Linked DNA regions of Nothobranchius furzeri. The protein of the gene in region 1 binds, or shares a complex with, the protein of each later gene. Links are inferred from orthologs where the notes say so. Each region holds a gene or a part of one and is shown on either strand. Other genes may lie near its edges.

What was found. Proteins that work in one complex are often made in the same cells at the same time.
Region 2: the proteins of plxnc1 (region 1) and sema7a are in contact, whole or in part, in a crystal structure (PDB 3NVQ), measured with the Homo sapiens proteins. The link is inferred for Nothobranchius furzeri from reciprocal best matches to the Homo sapiens genes PLXNC1 and SEMA7A. Residues at the interface, in NP_005752.1 of Homo sapiens: Arg131, Thr151, Glu152, Val153, Asn195, Pro196, Ala197, Ala198, Ser199, Asp200, His201, Thr203, Ala206, Lys208, Arg213, Ser214, Leu215, Ala216, Thr217, Gln218, Glu219, Leu220, Arg222, Lys224, Glu272, Ala350, Ser352, His353; in NP_003603.1 of Homo sapiens: Gln194, Tyr196, Asn197, Gly198, Lys199, Arg202, Arg204, Tyr213, Ser215, Asp216, Thr217, Gln270, Gly271, Gly272, Glu273, Ser274, Ser275, Leu276, Val278, Ser279, Lys280, Pro372, Thr375, Glu376, Phe378, Gln379, Asp382, Arg383.

What each region holds. Positions count from the first base shown.
Region 1 is NC_091741.1:61,442,592-61,453,771, forward strand, and holds part of plxnc1 (plexin-C1), read right to left. Parts: intron 9,933-11,180; coding exon 9,795-9,932; intron 8,702-9,794; coding exon 8,567-8,701; intron 8,487-8,566; coding exon 8,386-8,486; intron 8,311-8,385; coding exon 8,205-8,310; intron 8,130-8,204; coding exon 7,970-8,129; intron 7,763-7,969; coding exon 7,660-7,762; intron 7,260-7,659; coding exon 7,184-7,259; intron 7,082-7,183; coding exon 7,040-7,081; intron 6,931-7,039; coding exon 6,797-6,930; intron 5,538-6,796; coding exon 5,358-5,537; intron 4,681-5,357; coding exon 4,572-4,680; intron 3,808-4,571; coding exon 3,640-3,807; intron 3,568-3,639; coding exon 3,400-3,567; intron 2,564-3,399; coding exon 2,467-2,563; intron 2,363-2,466; coding exon 2,261-2,362; intron 1-2,260.
Region 2 is NC_091744.1:66,534,365-66,543,863, forward strand, and holds the start of sema7a (semaphorin-7A), read right to left. Parts: upstream 6,441-9,499; 5' UTR 6,233-6,440; coding exon 6,112-6,232; intron 6,046-6,111; coding exon 5,906-6,045; intron 5,515-5,905; coding exon 5,473-5,514; intron 5,340-5,472; coding exon 5,244-5,339; intron 5,033-5,243; coding exon 4,930-5,032; intron 4,811-4,929; coding exon 4,700-4,810; intron 4,188-4,699; coding exon 4,045-4,187; intron 227-4,044; coding exon 48-226; intron 1-47. UniProt on the Homo sapiens protein: Plays an important role in integrin-mediated signaling and functions both in regulating cell migration and immune responses.

The DNA of each region.
Region 1 (11,180 bases):
ATAAAAAGGGAAAATAACTCATGTCAGAAGAGGGGAGAGTTTCGCAAATCCAGTTAAAGGTAAGATTGTCGAAAATTTAGTGTAAGGGGCCCCATGTCTGTGTTCGCCTTGGGCCCCCAAATTGCTAAATCCGCCCCTGAGCACCACCTCACCCCAGCCACGTGGACCTCAAGGGATAAACCATCAACCCTGCTCAATGGTCAAGTTTCCTCGTGGGATCACCCATTTGGACAGTGGGAGGGTTAAGATTCTGGTGAAAATAAGACCATCAAACAAAAAGAGAGGAAATTAAAATGGCCAACATTGCACTGTTGCTGCGTCTATGCCTCTGGAGTCTCGTGAACACATGGGCATGTTCTAGAAACCAGTCTGAGATGATCTGAGCTTTGCGATATGCTGCATGATCCTGCTGGAAGTAGCTATCAGAAGATGGGTTCGTGTGCTCATAATGGGATGGACATGGTCAGCAATAATACTCAGGTTGTGTAAAATCCCGGTAGATCCTGCCAGCATGGTAAAAATAACTACTATAGCAATTATTGAAATTATTGATCTAAATAGATTTTTAGACTGAGCTATTGGACAATTTCACAAAATAAGCAAAATGACTCTTGCATTTATTGAGGTGATCAGACCTTCAGCCTCTGCAGTCGCAATGATCTAAGCTAACCTCCTAATAAAGCTAACTCCTGCTGGATGCAAAAGCTGAACCTGGATGGCTCTCTCTGACTCAAACATGAATAAAAGAAGTGAAAATGAAACCAGTTTGTGCAGAGTTTACAGAATGACCTAACAAGGAGATCTGAAAAGAATTGGAAATGTTTCCAATTAAAATAAAGATTTTAAAAAATTGTTTCCCCTATTTCTGATTCATCTGGAGTAAAACACATAAAATAACACGGTACTGACCTCACTAATAGAAACTTTATAGGCGGTTTTATTTTGTGTTACGTGACTTACTTTTACAGTCACCACTTTCACAATATGGTAACTGGTCCTGATTAACCTCAGTTAAATGATCATCATCAGATTCTCTCTCTCTCTCTCTCTCTCTCTCTCTCTCTCTCTCTCTCTCTCTCTCTCTCTCTCTCTCTCGCACTAAGCTTTGAAGTGACTCTAAAGATAAAAATGTGTCTAATCTAGCATTAGCAGAGTGCTCCTAATAAGAGAGTGTGTCTCCAAATCAGCAGCACAGCAGCTGTGAGAAAGAGTGCACCAGAATATTTAGTTACTTAATATTTTAACTCCTACATTTTAACTCCACTAAATCACAATTAAAGTAACAACACTTCAGAAAGTTCAACAATGGCTCACTAGTGCCCTCATACATCTTCTAAATTTGAAAAATCCCGCCAGAGAGAAATGCAAGCAGTGACATCCTGCAAATTTAGTGTGACCCAGCACCACCTCTGTTGCCATGAGAGGAGATCAGCACAGCGGTGCCATTCGTTTCACCAACCTCCTCGCTTATGGTGCCAGCACGGCACAACAAGTAACATCACATTTGCAACAGTGAACAAAGTAATAACTAAAAATAACACATCACCCCAAAATAAACATGCATAAACACCCCACAATAGAACAAACTAACTAAAAACATGACAACCCACAATGCACCTCGCCCCCTGCAGCTACTGCAACTTATAGAATAAAGGGGTGGAGTTTGCTAATGAACTATGCAGGTGTAAGAGCCACTGTGGGAGATCAGATTTAGCTTTTCAGGACCTATTTTGTCCTAAATGACACAGACAGAGTTTATTAGGAAACACTCTTTTTTACTGCCACCAACAACATATGATGTCATAAATACATACTGAAGTTCTTCAGATCCTCTTGAGGTAATGGCAGACGCAAACAACAGGATCGAGCAGTTTGAGTGACGTCATGTGATCATGTGACACAATCATCATGGATTTGAAGTCTACATTTACTTCGGGACAAATTGTTTTTCTTGGTTTCTTTCAAAGTGAGTGACTTTTAATTTTAGGAAAGTGAAATAAACAGGTTTAAACAAGAAATTACAATTTCTGAATTAAAACAATGTGAATTTTCAATTAAACTGAATTACACAGATGTTTCACTTATTTCAGTGTAAGAAGGTTTCACGTGTCACCAACTAAATGGTTTCTCTGCAGTTAGATGTGTCTAAACTACCGTTTAACACGGTGAGAAACCTCGAAACATCCAGTCTTTTATAAGAAAACTAAAATCAGGACTTTGTGCTCAGATTTCTTCTTTTACTGTCAGAGAAGTGACTGACCTTGTCTGATGTCTTTTCTGATATCTAGCTCCAGGTCCTCTATTAACCTGTTCATCTTTGCAGTGAGCTTCTTCTGCTTGCTCTGGTAGACTACCACCACCACTGGACAGACAGAAAGAGAAAAGGTCCAAACCCAACCCTCCAGTTTGTGTGTGCGATGCTGGTAGAGATCCAAAAACAAGCTGTAGTCACTCAGCTTTACTCACCAGCAACAATAACGGGTATCAGCAGAAGGGCAAACAACATGAAAATGAGATTTGACGAGGAATTACTGAGTTTTATGGACTTGTCTCCATATCTGATCTGAAACAGAAGAGCATGGAAACAGTTTAGGTTTGTGTGGAGTTTAATTTCCCTCTGAAAGGAACTGAGCTGATGATTCTGGAACACACACGGTCAGTACCAGAACCTGGAAGGACCCGTGGTACCTTGAACAACAGCACACTTTTGGATCTTACTATTTGCATGAAAAGGAAAGTAACTCCTTTATTTATATTCACACCTTTCAAGTACATCGGTCTATTCTGAATGCCCCTAACCGTGTACGTAGTGTATCATGGTGGAGAAGCGAGGGCCCGGGCGGGATTCGATCCCCAGACTCCCGGGGGAGAGTCATGCACGCTAACCAGTCAACCAAAGGGACATCCCCTTGGCTAAGTAGCCAGGGCGCATGATCAATAGGGACACTGTGACAGGACGCTCACACTGCCACATCAGTGTACAACAGTGCCACCATGAAGAAAACACTGAGGGGGGAGTGCTGAAAGTGATGGAGAAAAGTAAACAGTTTTAAAATTAGCAAGGGGAAGTGAGCCCGAGCATGACTATGCTGGTTTTGTTCTTTTTGAACTAAGAGTTCTGGGTGTGGTTAACGGAGTAAAACTATAGAAAACACGGGGTTTTGTTGAATCCTAAATTCAGTTTTCTGGCTACAAGAGAGAGAAAACCAGGCTTTACTGACAAACTGAAATAATAAACCAGTATAAATTCCAGATGTTTTAGGTGTGCATGTTAGAGATTTACGAAGGAATGATGGTGTTCAACTCTAATTTCCTCAGTTCCTTTATTTTATCCTTCCTTGAGGCACCATTATGCATGTATAATGTTCAATAATATGACTCTAAGACTTTAGATTTTACCTCTAACTGGTTAAATTTAACCTCCTGAATTCCTTTGATCTCACAGCTGATTGAGTCAATCTCGCTGCTGCTTTCTTTGCCTTCTATGCTGCAGAAATGCATCTCCTCTTCCCGAATTCCCCAAACTGACAACTCTGCCGTTGACATGTTCAATTCATCAGCCTTTTTCTGGAAGGACAACAAAGAGTTATCTTTTATAAGCTGATTTCATCCATGACGACAAGAAAAACTAAGCCTTACTTGAATCACTATGCGAACATCTTTTCCTTCCCTCACAGCGCTGAAACTGGTGAACTCCGGGTCTTTGTAGTAGGTTATTTGAGTGCAGGACAAGGTCTCATTGGCTACTCTCATAGACACGAAGCTCTTCTGAGTTTTTTCAGCTGCAGGTGTTTCATAGGTGAGATTCTGCAGAAAGGTATTCATTATGAGACAGAATTTTAAACTGAGCTTATATCAGCTGCAGCTTAAAAAAGTTATTTTCTGCTTTTTTGTCGTGTTTTAATGCAGATTTATGAATACTACCAGAATCCAGTGCAGATGGCTTTCCTAATAACCTCTTTTCAGTGAAATAGAATGTGTGTCATTCAGGACTGAGGAGCTAACGGCTAGTTCGAGCTTAGTCAAGACCAAAGTGAAAAGCTGCTGTTTTAAAACAGCTTTAATCTCCCAAGGGTTTACTTTTGTAACTGTTACATCGTCTGCTTTGCATTACAGTGTTATTTCCACTGAAATTTCTTGATTCCATTTTTTAATGTGTTCTGTAAATATCACCACCATCAGCAAACTTTAACAATTTCAGAGTGTCCAGGGGTCAAGTGCTGCAGGGATTTCATATTTCTGCCGTATAATACCGTGATGTGAAACTAATGACAGTATCAAGTGTATATAAACAGTCTTTACAGGAACCTCAGTTAAATTTTAAAGAACTCTTAAGATGGGACAAACACATTTTGCAAATAGTTGTTGCTGCACTTGTACTAGCTGTTAGCTCATCGATCATGCTGGACACAAACTCCATGTATTTAAACAGGTGGCTATAAAAAGTCATCTACAAGAAACCTTTTAGTACAATGATGTCTTTGAGTGAAATAAAGGAGTAGGATTAAACAACATGTGGTCCAACTGTTAGCATGCTAACCATCAGATGAACCTGCTGGCTGCAGATCTACCTGATAGCTGCTGGTCCTGGGAAGTATAGCATGATTATGCATGTGGTCATGTGTGATACCGTCCACAAAATGCAGGTTGGTTCCATGAAGCGTGACCTTCCTTTTGCCGCTGTGGAACACAGAACAGGTGTGAGGAGAGGACATGACACCCATTCCCAACTGTTGTCCCTCTAAGTCACCAGCTAACAGCCACCATAGTCTCCTCAGGCATTGAACAAGTGTTTATAAGTGACTACACTGAATTAAGTAAGCACATTTCAATTTTTCAAACAAGAAATAACGAAAACTAAAGTCTTAAAACTCAAATAGGAATTTCCAGCCGATTATTTGTGCAACCCCCCCAGGTCTTTGTTGTCCTCCCAGTCCCACCCAGTCTAGGCAGATTACCAGCCGTCCTGATTCTGGCTCAAAAGGTTTTATTATTTTATAAATATTTTTCTCTGTTGTTGCCTGATACGTGTTCAGGATGCGAGATCATACTGAAACTTGTCTTTCTTAATATATTTTATAATTGGGTATTTTTTGTAATAACCAATGTACTAACAGGAAGAAATTAGGCTGTTACTTTGGCTGTAATCATTATTTATATTTCTGAAAGCATTATTTGTTTACAGCATTTTCTCCACACCTGCCGTGGGTCTGACTCTGGCCCGGCATGGTGCCTGAGCCTGCCCATTTACACAGTTGACCTAGACCATGACCTTTAAAATCCATAAAACCTGTTTGAATTGAATGATATCTCACTGGTTCTCCATAGAAACATATAAAACTAGAACAAAAACTCACCTGATCCAGGAGCTGCTTGGCACAATACCACTGCAGATTGGTGCTGACTGATAGATGATTTCAGCATTACCATGGCAACTACCATCAGGGAGAAGAACACACACTTTCACCGCTCCTTTGGCATTTGTACTGGGAATGTGGAACGTAAGATTTACACCAGTTTTGTTCCACACAGGTGATCTGACCAGAGAGCACAGGAAAACACAGAGAGGAAACCGTTAAACTGGATACAATAAATATCCGGGTATAATAAATCCTGCAAAAATATCTATCTATCTATCTATCTATCTATCTATCTATCTATCTATCTATCTATCTATCTATCTATCTATCTATCTATCTATCTATCTATCTATCTATCTATCTATCTATCTATCTATCTATCTATCTATCTATCTATCTATCTATCTATCTATCATCTATCTATCTATCTATCTATCTATCTATCTATCTATCTATCTATCTATCTATCTATCCATCTATCCCCATCTTCCCACCCACCATCTATCTATCTATCTATCTATCTATCTATCTATCTATCTATCTATCTATCTATCTATCTATCTATCTATCTATCTATCTATCTATCTATCTATCTATCTATCTATCTATCTATCTATCTATCTATCTATATATCTATCTATCTATCTATCTATCTATCTATCTAACTACCTATCCATCTATCCCCACACACCCACCCACCCACCCACCCATCCATCCATCCATCCATCCATCCATCCATCCATCCATCCACCCACCCATCCATCCATCCATATACACTAATATCATAAAGTTTTATTCTGTCAAAGTACGTTGTAATTTAATCTATTTGGTGGATGAGGAGAGCGGGTGAGTGGTATAAAAAATTGTGCAATCTGATTAGAAAAAGTACAAATAAAAAAAAAACAATTGTTTATCCTAAAAATCAAAACAATCTGAATGATTTATTTGGTGAAAGTGTGGCGTGTTCAATTTGTTAAATATCAGAGGTGTAGGTTGTGCCAGACAGGTCGAACTCAAGGCTGAGTATTCTTTAAGAGTTTCTAATACCACTAACATTTCAGGTCAAATAAATATTAGAATGGACTTTATTTTCCTCTAGTTATCAAATGTTCTTGCAGTAATGGATGCCTTTTTTTTAAAAAAGAAAAATGAAATTCCCCAAACCCAACCTCAACCCCTTGGTGTCGTTCAAACACTCCAGGAAGTCTTTAAAGCTCTAAATGAGTTACTTCATTTAAATGAAAGAAATAGATATTCCATTTGACAAATGTCCTCCACAGAAGAAACGTTTGAAGTGCAGTTGGTCAGGAGGAAAGGGTCTATAGATATAAAACACTAAAACATCTAAAACTACAAGTCCCAGAATGGTGTTACCAGAAAGCCTTTCACATAAAAAGCTACTGAAAAGTCTAGAGCTAGTTCATGTAGATCCTCACTCCTGTGGACTGCAGCTCAAGTCCTTCAGGATCTTCACTCCGATTACATCCTGGAGGTCACGACCTGACAGAACAGCGTGGTTTTTGCCGTAGAAAGACACGTTACTGGGAGTGATGGAGGAGATCTCTGGCTTCTGACAGAAAACACACAAAGTAACCAGCTTTAATACAAAAGTCACTAATGATGTTAGAATGAACGAGTTTAAGGGAAACATCAGAGAGAGAACTGAAATTCAGACTTACAGAAAACTTCACATCAGACGTAATGTTGGTGCAAATGCTGTCCTGTAGCAGAAAAGTAGAAATGTAATTAAATATTTGAGAATTAAAATGTACAAAAATAACAAATGGGAATATTTATAAAAGCATGAAAAAAATCACTCTTACACTTTGCACTTGTGGACTGGCCCAGGAACAGCTGTTGTCTCTCCATCCACACCCAGCTGTGATGCACCGCTGACACCTGAACAGGAAACGGTCCCATGCAGCTCATCAGACTCAGTTAAACACAAACACACTCATCATTTACAAAACTACAGCATAAAATACCACCCAGTGGATGAAAGATGGTCTAAAGGATGAATCCTCAACTTTTGCCCAAAAGAGAATTAAATTATTTCCAGTCATAAAGACTGTGAATATTTCAGATTTAACATCTTCTGTACGATTTTTGTTCTTCATCTGATCATTTTTGCCACAAAAGGAAAATTTCTCCTCACATTATTTGCAGCATCTTATTTTATTTCAGGTTGGGCAGTTTTGACAAACATGCTTATTAATCAGTGGACTTTTGGATATGGATATTTTTCTTTTTCTGTACATTTGAACACTTTTACATGATTTTAAAACACAGCAGAACTCACAATAAATCACTTGGTTCTCCCTGGATGTTAGAACAGTTGATCAGATGTAGTTTCTCCGTCAGCTGCGCTGCACCAACTCTGATCCTTACAGTGACATCAACACCTGCAAATGAAACATAATCCAGGCTATTTTAGTAAAAATAATCTCCTCGTTTATTGGTGATTTTTTTTCATGCAGCTTTATATAAATCATTGCAACAAAGAGACATTATTCTTTTCCATCATTTAAATTCTGGTATTATTGTAGATAAAGTTGCTGCAAATCAGTGAACAATGAATGTTTGTCCTGCTCCAAACTGAACCCACTAACCATCCACACGATGAGTAGAGAGAATGCAGGTGCATTGTGGGTAATGCGGTTTAGAGCCAGACTGCATACAAAGCTGACCAGAGGTTGTGGAGAACTGACAGGAAAAGTTAGAGCGCATCTCTGCTTTCACAGTCAGGTGAGCCTGGATGGTCACTTTGATCTGATGAAAGGAAAAACATCAGCTGAAATCATCTGGTTCTAAATGAATCCATTCACTAACCTGTTAAAATCTCACCTGCCCTTTAGGATCCTCCACAACTCGGTGGGAAATCATCTTCTTCTGGGATTCATCAGGGATGGACAACCAGTCTGAACCTTTACATTCATCTTCACGAGTGCATCTGAAACAAAGTCAAACATTATTACCAAGTTCAGAACATCCTGGAGACGTTGACCACAGCTGAGGATGTCCTGACCTTTTCTCATCAACACACCACACACAGTATGGATCCTGAGCAGACCAGCATGCCTTCTTATCTGTGTGTGTGTTGCACTCTGACACTGGTACACGGTTAACCTGCAACCAAACACAAAGGTTTAGTAGTTAAACACTGTAGTTACAGGTGACATGAAGATAAGGGCAAAGTATCCAAATACCTGGTTTTTAACAGAAACATAAACATGTTCGTGATCCACTGGATCCAGGTAGATTTGGGGTAACAGCTTTACGTCCCCACTGGCCCTGTAGAGCACCTTTGGACAGGTGGGGCGGAGGTTCCTGTCCACAGAGAGCTGACAACAGGTTGTTATTGTGAATACATCTAGAGCAGGGGTGTCAAACTCATTTTAGCTCAGGGGCCACATTGAGGGAAATCTGGTCCCAAGTTGGCCGGACCGGTAAATTAAAAACAGCTTCAGATTGTTTTCTTTGTTTTAATACAATCAATATAAAACAAGGCTGGAGCCTGAGGACAGTGTATCCAAAATAGTACAAGTACAACACCTGAAGTGTACTTGAAATTTTGAAAAAATTAAAAAAATCAATCAATAAAAAAAACATTCCTTAGTGATTCAAAGAGCTTTCAGATTACATGGCTAGATCAGTTTCATGCAGCACTTAAAATATATTTGACTCATTTTACTTTACATCTTTTAGCTTTCACCAGCACATCAATATCAGAAGTCACATCCTGAGTGGCGGCCAACTTCAGGATGTGATTCACGCTCTTGTGTGAGCCTTGAGCACAGCTTTGTTTTATTTATACTCATTACAGAGAAAACTTGCTCATAAAGATAAGTTTATTTTCACTCTACATTGTAAAGTATGAAAACAAAGTTCACACAACCATCTCGCGGGCCGGATTTAACCCGCTTGCGGGCCGGATCCGGCCCGCGGGCCACATCTTTGACACCCCCGATCTAGAGGCTCAGTGTTGGTGCACATTTAAATGTTTAATTAGACAAAAGAAAAATGACTTTACTGCTTTCAAAGTCTTTTATTTGTTTCTTGTCACAAAAGCTTCAGTTTTTACACGTCCTCAATTAAATCCATCAGTCCATTTGTATTTATTAAAGGTGTGACGGTTTTATAGAAGCAACACAATCGGTGCTGATGGCATCTACTCACCTCAGCCTGTTTACTCACTACTCATTATGGGATGTTCAGCAGAGCCCTGCTTCTTTCCTCTGACAATAATGAGCTCACACACCAGAAACAAATGAAAAACACCACAAAAGGTTTTTGAAAGGATTTTGTCACTTCCCCTGTTTTGCCAGTCGTGATCAGGAAATGTGCTAGATGTGACACAACAATGTTTGTGAAGCTCAGAGAACACAGCCACCTCTCCGGTCCCCGGTGTGTGACACTTGTAACGTCTCTACTCACCCTGAGGAGCTGTCCATCTGATGTCCCAATGAAGAAAACCATCCAGCCCATCTTCCTCTCTGCCAACACAGAAGTCATGTAGTCCTTCTTGAAAAGCACAGCCTTTGGTTTCAGGATCTTTGGTTCTGACTGAGAAACCTGACAATTATGAGTAGATCTGGCATCAGACAACAGTCGCTGAATAATTTATTACTACCTTAATTATTTAAAATAGTCTTAATCAACACACAGGTCAACGTTTACTAACGGAGTGTTTTAGCTAAAGCTAACGTGTGCCATTTTAATGCAGGTCATGTGGCTGGACATTCGAAGAATGATCAGCTAACAGTTTTTAAAAAAATCACTGCATGCTTTTAGTGTTTATGTATCTTTTTAAATTCAATAACCATCCAGAAGGGACCAGCCACAGACACACATCAGCCACACCCTCACTCTGTAGGAGGAAACCAGATATCTGGAGAAAATCACATCCATGGGGGGAACATTTCAGAAAGGCAGGTGGGATTCGAACTGGAGACCTTCTTCCTGCAAAGCAGCTACCAAATTAACTAGACCTTCAAATTGTAGTTGGCTGAAATGTGATAATGTTCCTACATATTTATTCTTTATTTTAAAAGGCAAACACGATCAAATTAAATGACTTGAGCTCTAGATGGATTTGAGAAAGTATGAAGTTATTGTATTTTATTGCATCAGTTACTCCCAGTGTTGGGAACGTTACTTTAAAAAAGTAATTAGTTATAGTTACTGATTACTTTGTCAAAAAAGTAACTCAGTTACTAACTGAGTTACAAGATCATAAAAGTAACTAATTACCAACAAAAGTAACTACTTAGTTACTTTTTTCATTAAAGAATGCAAGAATTACTACAATAGTAAAATATTAATGACTAATGACTGAACATAATAAAATGTATGTCCAAATGTTTTATATAAACCTGAATAATTTAAACAAATACGCACTTAACAGGAGGAACTACTAATAGGAACATTACACTAATCTAGACTATTAAAAGGTCACTGTGTGATATTTAACAAAAAACCAATCAGCTAAAATTTAAAATTGCAAATAGAAACACCTGTAAAGGTTCCCGAGCCTTTAAATCTCAGTCTAGTTAAATTACAGAAATAAATGTAATTTTGCACAGTATTCTAATTTTTCCAGCTTCACATAATTGTGTGTTTTTACTAGCATTTCTGTTGCTGGTAATCTAGTAACGGTTAAATAAATAAATAAAATCCTTTAAAATGACACTAGAAGAGGCACAAGCCTGATGGAGGACTTACATTTACTAACTTGGGTCAGACCCAACCACAGAAGAGCTGAAGCTGGGTGGTAAACACACACAGGTAGTTCTAATAAGACCTGAGCTCCATGTCGTTTGA
Region 2 (9,499 bases), on another chromosome or scaffold:
ACAACAAAACAAAACAAAGAAGAAAATGTTACAGAAAAGTGTTGTACCAGCTGCTTGAAAACAACGCGTAGACTTTGGTGTCACGCCAATCCTCAGCATGCATCACAAAGATGTCTTGGAGACGGTTAAAGTACAGCGACTCGTCTGGAAATCCACAGACAAGCCGAGCCTTGAGGAAAGAGGTCCAAGTATTCTGGAAGAATCTTTTTGATCCACCTTCATCCACCTGCATCATGACACAGAGACAAGGAACAGACTGACTAAGTTATTCTATACCACTAACATTGCAGCCACCTTCCCAAGTGAAGTTAAACACCAAACCCCTTTTAGGGCTAGTCATGTTTTCGAGAAGCTTTTGTAAACACTACCACAGTGGCATGAGAGGGATACCGCCTTATTGCAGAAGCATGATTTAATAAGTTTTTTAAATGTTCCTCATGGTGCACGGAAAGTATTAGCTGAATTTCGTCTTTGCATGTACAATTAACTGCCATGAAAATAACTTCCTGTTAGGGTATTATACTCTCCATGACGACAGTGTCAATATATCCATGTAAAGTGCACTTCTGCTTAAACTAGAAACAGTCCTTGCCCTTTACATTGTTCCTGTTAGAAACAGATAAAGGTCAGTTACCTGACAGGTAACCTACTGCTTATTTCAGATGGAAAAGGATGTTTTTCAATCTGTCATCAGCTACATGAAGATGTACACATCAGGGCTGCACGATATTAGAAAAACGTGATGCACGATAACAGTGATTAATATTGCAATGACAATATGACTTGCAATAAATAAACAACTACTTAACTCAAGAACAAAAAAACTAAATAAAAAAACAAAGAAAGAAATAAAAAAAATATTTTAAAACAACAACAAAAAACATAAAAATGGGAAAAACAAAAAATGTTATCAGAAGATGTGAGCAAAGAGAAAAAGAAAATGAACAAGAAAAGGCAAACAGTGAATCCAGGGAAAAGAAGAATCAGCAGAAAGAGCAGAACAATGCTAACTCAGGTGTTTGCCAGCCATCCAAATTAAGTGGTGTCCGCATAGGGGGTGGGCATCTAACCTATAAGAACGCACCCGATTGGCCAAATGGGTGAAGGGCTCTATTTGATTAGTCAAAAACGTCATGCTTCAAACGGAACACAATGTGTGATGCAGACATTTGAGCTGACCATTCATTATGTTTTTTCTGTTCTTTTTAATGTATTGTGCAGCCCGAGTACACACACACACACACACACACACACACATATATATATATATATATATATATATATATATATATATATATATATATATATATATATATATATATATATATTAGGTGTTTCTCAATGTCAAGGAACCTTGCCTTGATGTCTTGGCCCCGCCTCAGGTGGCTAGGAGATACGTCATCAGGAGCCGCCAAGACGTGTTCCAGTCGGTTCCAATGTTCAGGTTCTACCGAGGCGTGTGTTCTCTGTTTGTTAGCCGTTTAGCTAGCTGAGCGAGGATACACGGGAGGTGTCTTGTTGTCTAGCCTTGGTCAAAAATTACCCAGAATACACGCGGTATTTTCAAAAGGACGGTGGATCAGAAGCCGGCAGCTACTTTATGTTTATGTTTATGTTTATGTATTTAGCAGACCCTTTTGTCCAAAGCGACTTACTTTGGGGACAATTTTCAAGTTTAAAAGTAAGTCAACTAATTTTAAATGATTTATTTATTTTTTTTTTAGATCCAAAGAAGTTATCTATTGTTGGTTAGATGCTTATTAGTTGCAGCTTCGGTGGCTAGCGGGTAACTCACTTATATTTTTAATTTAATAAACATATACACAATTTAAAAAGTAAAAGGCTCGTTATATATTTATATTGAAACTAATACGTATAAAATATAACGTTGTCTCCCGTGTCACGTGATGTTACATGACCGCTGTGGAAGCCACGGTCACGTGATGCAAGTCTGTTCCATTTAACCGTTTTCTTTGACCAAGGAAGGACAGTGTCCTCGTAAGCAAGGCACCTGGCCTTGCAAGACATTGCCTCGCAAGGCAAGGCGCCTTGACATTGAGAAACACCCATTATCTTGTGTGTTGTACAGTTTTAAAGGTGTGGTTCACTTGTTTATTATTTGTAGTGGTATACAGTATGATTGAATGCCTTTCAATTCGTACTCAGGGGGAAAAAAGCTAAGATGCGCTTGTTTCAGAAACTTGCAGAATACCACACCAGAGAAGAGCTCAACATGGCAGGATCTATTTGGACATCTCGCCTGTGATTGGATAACAGCAACGACTCTGCCACTAACTCTGTTTTCTCTGCAACGTTGATGTTTATCTCCACAAATAACTCAACCCTGGAGGTGTTCTGTTGTGTGGTGGAATTGTTAATGCTAACAGTTAGCTTTTACTAGTTGAGATGTTCTGTTTCCTGGATGCTAAACCAACAACAGCCTTCCCTGTCATGAGTCAAGATGGGTGAGTCCATGAATGTTAAGTGACAGTGCGATGTTACACTGTCAGGCTTTTCAAATCCTTGTCAGGTATAGGGAACTGGACACAAAAGCAAGGCTGGGGAATGAGGAGGTAAAAGGCAAATGTCCTTTATTAAGACAGAGGTCAAAAAGGCAGGTAAATATTCCAACAAGCTAATTCAAGTTAGCAGGCAAAAAGAGCAGAAACGGTTGCACCAAAACCAAGTCAAACATACTGAGAGCAAACACTAATCACGGCTGGAACGAAGAGCTAGAAGACAACAACGAACTGGCAACTGAAAAGGAGAACAAAGAGAGATTAAATACAAGTGAACACAGCTAGGATTAATCTGGTTAACGAAGGACAGGAAATGACACAGAGGAGAGAGGAAAATGTCAAAGTAAAACAGGAAACAAAGAGCTGGACTCCTGGCAGGGTGTGACAATCCTAGAGTTTCATCTATTTTCTATCAGAAGCTAAAGCAGGAGATAGGTGTAGGAGACTATTTTCATGTTCAGCCTGTATGAAAAACTCAGAGAGACTTATAATCAGAAATAATAATTTAAAAAATGTATCTTTTTGTGTGTGGTTCACTCCTTTAAAAGTACAATTAAATGTTTTAATTTTAGGCTGCGCAGTGGTGCAGTGGTTAGAGCTGTTGCCTTGCAGCGAGAAGGTCCTGGGTTCGCTTCCCGGCCTGTGATCTTTCTGCATGGAGTTAGCGTGTTCTCCCTGTGCATGCGTGGGTTCTCTCTGGGTACTCTGGCTTCCTCCCACAGTCCAAAAACATGACTGTCAGGTTGATTGGTCTGTCTAAATTGTCCTTAGGTGTGTGTGTGTGTGTGTGTGTGTGTGTGTGTGTGTTTGTCCTGTGTGTCTCTGTGCGTCCCTGCGATGGACTGGCTCTCTGTCCAGGGTGTACCCCGCCTAATTGCCCGTTGACTGCTGGAGATGGGCACCAGCCCCCCGCGACCCTACGTGGACAAAGCAGCTTCAGAAGATGGATGGTTTTAATTTTATTATAAAACACATTTTCTTGCACTGAAATGCAAACTGATCTTCAGCAGAAGCTGGAAGCTTCTGATAAACATACATCATATATCATGTAAATATTAGATATTCATAAAATATCTATTGCACCAACATTCATGCAAATTTATTTTAGATTATTTAACTTATGGAATACCTTTATCTTCAGAAGTTTATTGGTTTCTATAGTGACACTCCATCCAGAGGTCCTGAATGGTTTAAAATAGTTCAAATTTGTCATTATTGTCTTCAAGGTGAACTATGATCAACCTAACTGAACATCTGTATGGAAAAAAAAATTTGGTAGAGTTTCAAAGCCTTGAGAAATCAACCCAAAGGCACCCTGAGGGGTTTTTGGCAGTACATCACCACCTTGCATAAATATTTTCTATGTGATTACAACCTAGCTGTACATTTTTGTCACTTATTTAATATTTGGGGTTTTCCCTTGTTTGACAGAAAATGAGCAAATTAAAAATAAATGTGTTTTTATGGGTGTGGGTCCAGTCGCCTGCACAATGGAGGTTCAGAATCTCCTGTGTTGAGCCCGTACCTTACACACTCTGGCCACTCTAGAAATCCAGGGATCAGCTTCTGGGCTGTGGTCGGAGTTCTTCTCACGAAAAAATATGTAGATTTTTTCATTATCAGGGTCATCCTCGCGCTTTACCCAGGATGCAGAGATGAATGTGGGCTCTGTGAAAAAGGACGTCATGTTTTAGCAACAGCACCAGAAGGCAGCTTGAGTGATGAGATGTTCAGATTCAATACAGTTAAAATTAAAAAATTAAAGTTGCTTGTTTCTACAACAAAAAGAAGCATGGGAGTGTGCTACTAAAATTAATTCGTTTGAGTGCTGCTGTATATACTTTACACTGCCAAATGAAACTGCTTCCCTTTAAAGTTGCCGCTGTAAACTGAAAATTGCCCGTCTGTGCAAACGCACGGTTTGCTGACAAAAAAAGCGTTGTGCCTGCACTTTCACTGACACGCAAGCAAATAGTTCAATTGGATCTAATTTCCTTCATTGAGCCGTTTTCCTTGAATTCCTGAAAATGTATTATTTCTGTTTACCTTTGGGTTGCTGAGAAACAAAGCTACGTGCCATCATTAAGCCAGATATGTAAATAATTTGGTTTGAAGGCACATCACAGATGTAATAACGGGTTAGGGCTCCTACACTAGAAACAACCTGCTGTAATTCTCACCTGAGACCCAGCTGTCATACATCCAAACGTTTGTTCTGCTGCCTGCTTTTCTCCTGAACTGTAGTGAGCTTCCCTCAACATCCAAAGGTGCTGCTGCATACAGGTCTCCATCTGCACAACAGCAAAGATCACTTCAAATACTTTACTTCAGTTTATGTCAGTTTTATTATAGTCCTGAGTCATATCTGATGCCTTAAACACATTTTAAACACGTAGAAATCTATATTTACCAACTGCGAGTGACAAGGAGTTTTGCGTGTAGACAAATGGGGAGATGCCGGTCCCCTCATAGCTCTCCACTATTTCATAAGACTGGTTACTTACAGAAGGGAACTATAAAGAACGACAGAAAATGAAACAGTCAACAGTCCAATATGATGTCCTGAGAGCTGCAGTGGAAAACACATAAACAAATGATGAGATACCAGATAGCCTACTTAATTATGTAGCAGGGAACTCAAATAAAGTTTCCTTAGAACCCCTTAAATCAGCTTGGCCCTGCTGCCACAGTTGGGTTTATATTCAAGATGCATTCATCACTCACAAGCTCCCAGCACTTTGGATTGAGTCCATTTGTTCCACAGACAAAAACGCTGTCCTGAAACTTCTCGATTACGGTGATTTCATTTGTACAAGAGCCCTAAAAAAGACATTTGTCATTACAGAAAGGCAAAAAGTCACTTGTAAGTCGCTTTGGACAAAAGCGTCAGCTACATACATAAACATAAACATAAACATAAAAAGTCACATTTTGTAAATCTGCTGCTACTTACTTCATGACATTCATGCTGCTCTGTGGTCTTCAGTGGATATTCCTGTCAGAGAACAAATTTGTTCCTCTAATTAACCAATCATACAATAAAAAGCACCAAATGGACCCTATTTATGAAATCATCATCATCATGGATCGTAGATATAAGAAGATTTTGAGCAGTTTTAGATTTTCTGGATCTGATTTCCAATCAGTTGGTTATCTTAAGAATTCAGCATTTTACAGTTAGAAAAAGTAATCAGATTTATTATGATGACCTGTTTAAAATGTTCCTGTTTTTTTAACTAATCTGCCATGAATAGATCTGTGCCAGCCATCTGTTACTTTGCTGTCTAATTACCACAAAATGCACCCAGTCTGGAGAAGAATTAAACTGAGAAGACGTGGAATAAGCAAACACAGCAGCAGGTGCCAAAGCGGAGCTCAGGACTTACCTCTAAGATGTGAAATTCGTTCACATCCAGTTTTAAAACAAAGTCAGTCCCACCAACATACAGTTCGTCTGAATCCTCCTGATATGAGAAGACGCTGTGGTTCTGATATGCGTCATACACATGTCCACCTTTGGTTAAACCTAAAAATAAAACAAGTAAATATAGCGTTGAGTCTCACCGAAACAGAATGATAGGAGCTCACCCACCTGTGATCAGGAGTCTAGGGCTTTTAGGCGAGCCGAGAGTCGGTGTTTCCTGTAAGTCTTTATTCTGAACAAGATGAAACTCGCCGAGCAGCAGGAGAGGAAAATAATAGAGTCGGTTCATAATTATTGCGCGCGAGAGAGCGGACAGTTCCGCTATCCTGTTAGGAGAACTGAGGCATCGCCTGTCTGCGATTATTGCATTATAGACCGGAGCAGTCACTCCTCTTCCTCCATCTCTGTCACGGTGTCACCACTGCGTTCGCAGGACGTAAACAAATGAAAAAGGCCAGATTTGCCTGCAGAGCCGCACAAGACCAAGTACACCATCAGTGCACACTAACGGAGAGGCGCACTTGTTTCGTCGGTGCCGCCCCTTGTGGTCACATTTGGAGCCCCAGGGAAGCCCCATAAATCATATTCACGTTAACACGAACCATGTATTATTTTTCCACACATTTAAAAACCCAATAGAGACATGCCACAATTTGTCACTAATTAAAAAAACTTTATTCTCACTACCAACCCCCCACGCAGCACCTCCCTTGCTCCCCCCTCTCACTTAGATCTGACCGGGTAAAATTTACTTACCTATAGATTGAGACACCCAAGATACAAAACTGAATGCCACCATAGATCATTCATTCATTCAACATGTAAGAACACAATTTTATATTTTCAGGATAACGGTTCCAGATATTTATACCTTTGACAGATATACAGTGATTTTTAATCATGAGTCTTTGGCCTTTCAATTCAATTCAATTTTATTTTATTTATATAGCGCCAAATCACGACAAGAGTAATCTCAAGGCACTTCACATAATAAACTTTCCAATTCAGGTCAGTTCATTAAGCCAATCAGAAAAAAAGTTTCCTATAAGGAACCCAGCAAATTGCATCAAGTCCACTGACGAGTGTCAGTGACTTTACAGCAATCCTCATACTAAGCAAGCATATAGCGACAGTGGAGAGAAAAACTCCCGTTTAACAGGAAGAAACCTCCAGAGGATCCTGGCTCAGTATAAGCAGCCATCCTCCACGACTCACTGGAGATCGAGAAAACAGAGCACACTCACACACACACACACACACACACACACACACACACACACACACACACACACACACACACACGTACGAGCACGCACACACACACACACATGCACGTACGCGCACGCACACACACACACACACACTATTATTTTGAATAATAAAGAACCTCTTTTGTCTGTTCATACTGTGTTTTTGTCTGTAATCCATATTTTTGTTATTTTCTTACACAGTTCAGTAAAAATTATTTATTTACCTCACGTGCAATATAAATAAATAATTTTTACTAAATTGTGTAAGAAAAGAACAAAAAAAATAATAAAGAACCTCTCCACGGTTTAACTGCTTCTGTCACTATCCTGTCACATTCTAACATCAAAGCTATATTTAATACTTGTGAAATACCTGGATGAATATTTTTATGTCTGTATCTTTATGCTGTTTCTTTGTGGAGAGTCGATTTTCTATTTTTACTCTATTCTTATTCTTTTTTGTTTGAGTGCTGAATGCTGGTATCCGATTAGCAGAGAGAAAGTTAAAAACATCTGGCAAGTTTCAGAAGGAGAAAGTAGGAGAAGCATGCAAAATCAGTAGTCAGATTGTGAGTTTTTTCTGGAGTAAAATAACCTAGAAGAGAGTCCAGATTACACCCAAAAGCAAAACAAAACCAGCACACCAAAGTACCAGGGCATCCTTCCACGGCACCATTTTGGTCAGTTATTCCCATAAGTACAGGATCAGCAAAGAAGTGGTCATGGCTAAACACCAGTACCTTGTCAACATTCAGCAGCAAATCTCTGAAAACAACTTGACCTCTGTGTGGAAAGTTTCAGCAACATTATGAACTACAAGCCCGAAAGCCCCGCCGCCACTAATCTGCCTAAACAACTTACTTCTATGGTCGGTTTGATGAACCATCATAGTGCAAGAGGTTCTGATCCATTCGGACCGGAACCTCTTGCCACAAAAGCGGTTTCTTCCCCTCCGCAGTTGGTCTCATGAATGACAATTCTAGGGCTGCCCACTCCAGTCGCTTTGTTTCAGTCACATGACCATGTAATGTGTTTGTACCTGAAGCCGTTTCTTTAACTATTGCCACTTCATATAATTATTTAATCATAATTATATTCTTACTTCCTTTATCTGCTTATCTCTTATTTTTTATCTTTCTTTTTTGCACCAATTACCGCACGGGCACAGCAGCATATTCCTAATGTTGTGATTTCTCGCATATATGGCAAAGAAACCCTTCTGATTTGATTAGGTTTAGTTGCAAAGGCAGAGAGTTTAAATGTGGTCAGACATGTGGATGAGTGACGTCAGAGAGCTGCAGAGAGATGCAGTACATGCCTGTTTTTCTGATGGTCTCAGAAATGAATAAGTATGTACAGGAATATGTCCCAAGAGTCAACACGTCTTGGCCTGCAACACAGAAAAAGCTTACATTGTGAATATCACTTCCTCGTCGGAGTTTATTTTGCTGCAGCCTATATTCAGCAATTTGTGCATCTAAATATATCATTGCACCCCAGGCCACTTTCCTGCTTTTGTGGACAGATTTTGAAACAAGGGTAGACTACATTGTTGTATTTTGCAAGGGCCAGGGAGTCATCTCATACTGCCAGTCCACCACATGCATGAACCATTAAAGGAAAAATAACTTGGGAGAAAGCCTATAGCACAGTAAACATAAGAAAACCCTCTTGCAATGAAATACTATCCCCAAACTCATAGTCATTATATGAAGAGATAATGTCGACAGGACTTATTGTTTCCTTGCTTGGTTGAAAATTTTAACCTCAAATAATTTCTTCTCAGTACTTTAGGTGATTATTTCCTGTACTGTTTTCACATAAGTAAGAACTGACCTGAGTACAGCTTTTATCCCAAATCCACAATTTTACTGGAAAAAAGTAAAAAAAAATATCTTTACCTTATTTTTAAAAATTGGAGTCTATAAATACTTATGTATAAGAATATGTCCCAAGAGTTAAGACCAAACAAGTAGCAAAAAGTATAACATTTTATTAAGGACAAAGATCAGATGAAGAAACCAAAAACAATTCATAACTGGCACAAATCCACACTGATTTTCTATGACAAAAGGGTGAAAACAAGATAAAAAAGAGAAAGCTGCATAACACACATTAGTCAGACACAAAGTAAAAACCAAAACAAAATAAAGTACCTGAAATGTGAAGTAGAAGCAACTACAGAAACATTTGTAGGGACAAAAGTTATCTCAAATTAGTGAAAACTTGATTTATAATTCTGAAAAGGCAAGAAAAGAAAAATAATAAAGAGGCAGGATATCTGATTTAGGTAATATTCTGCAATG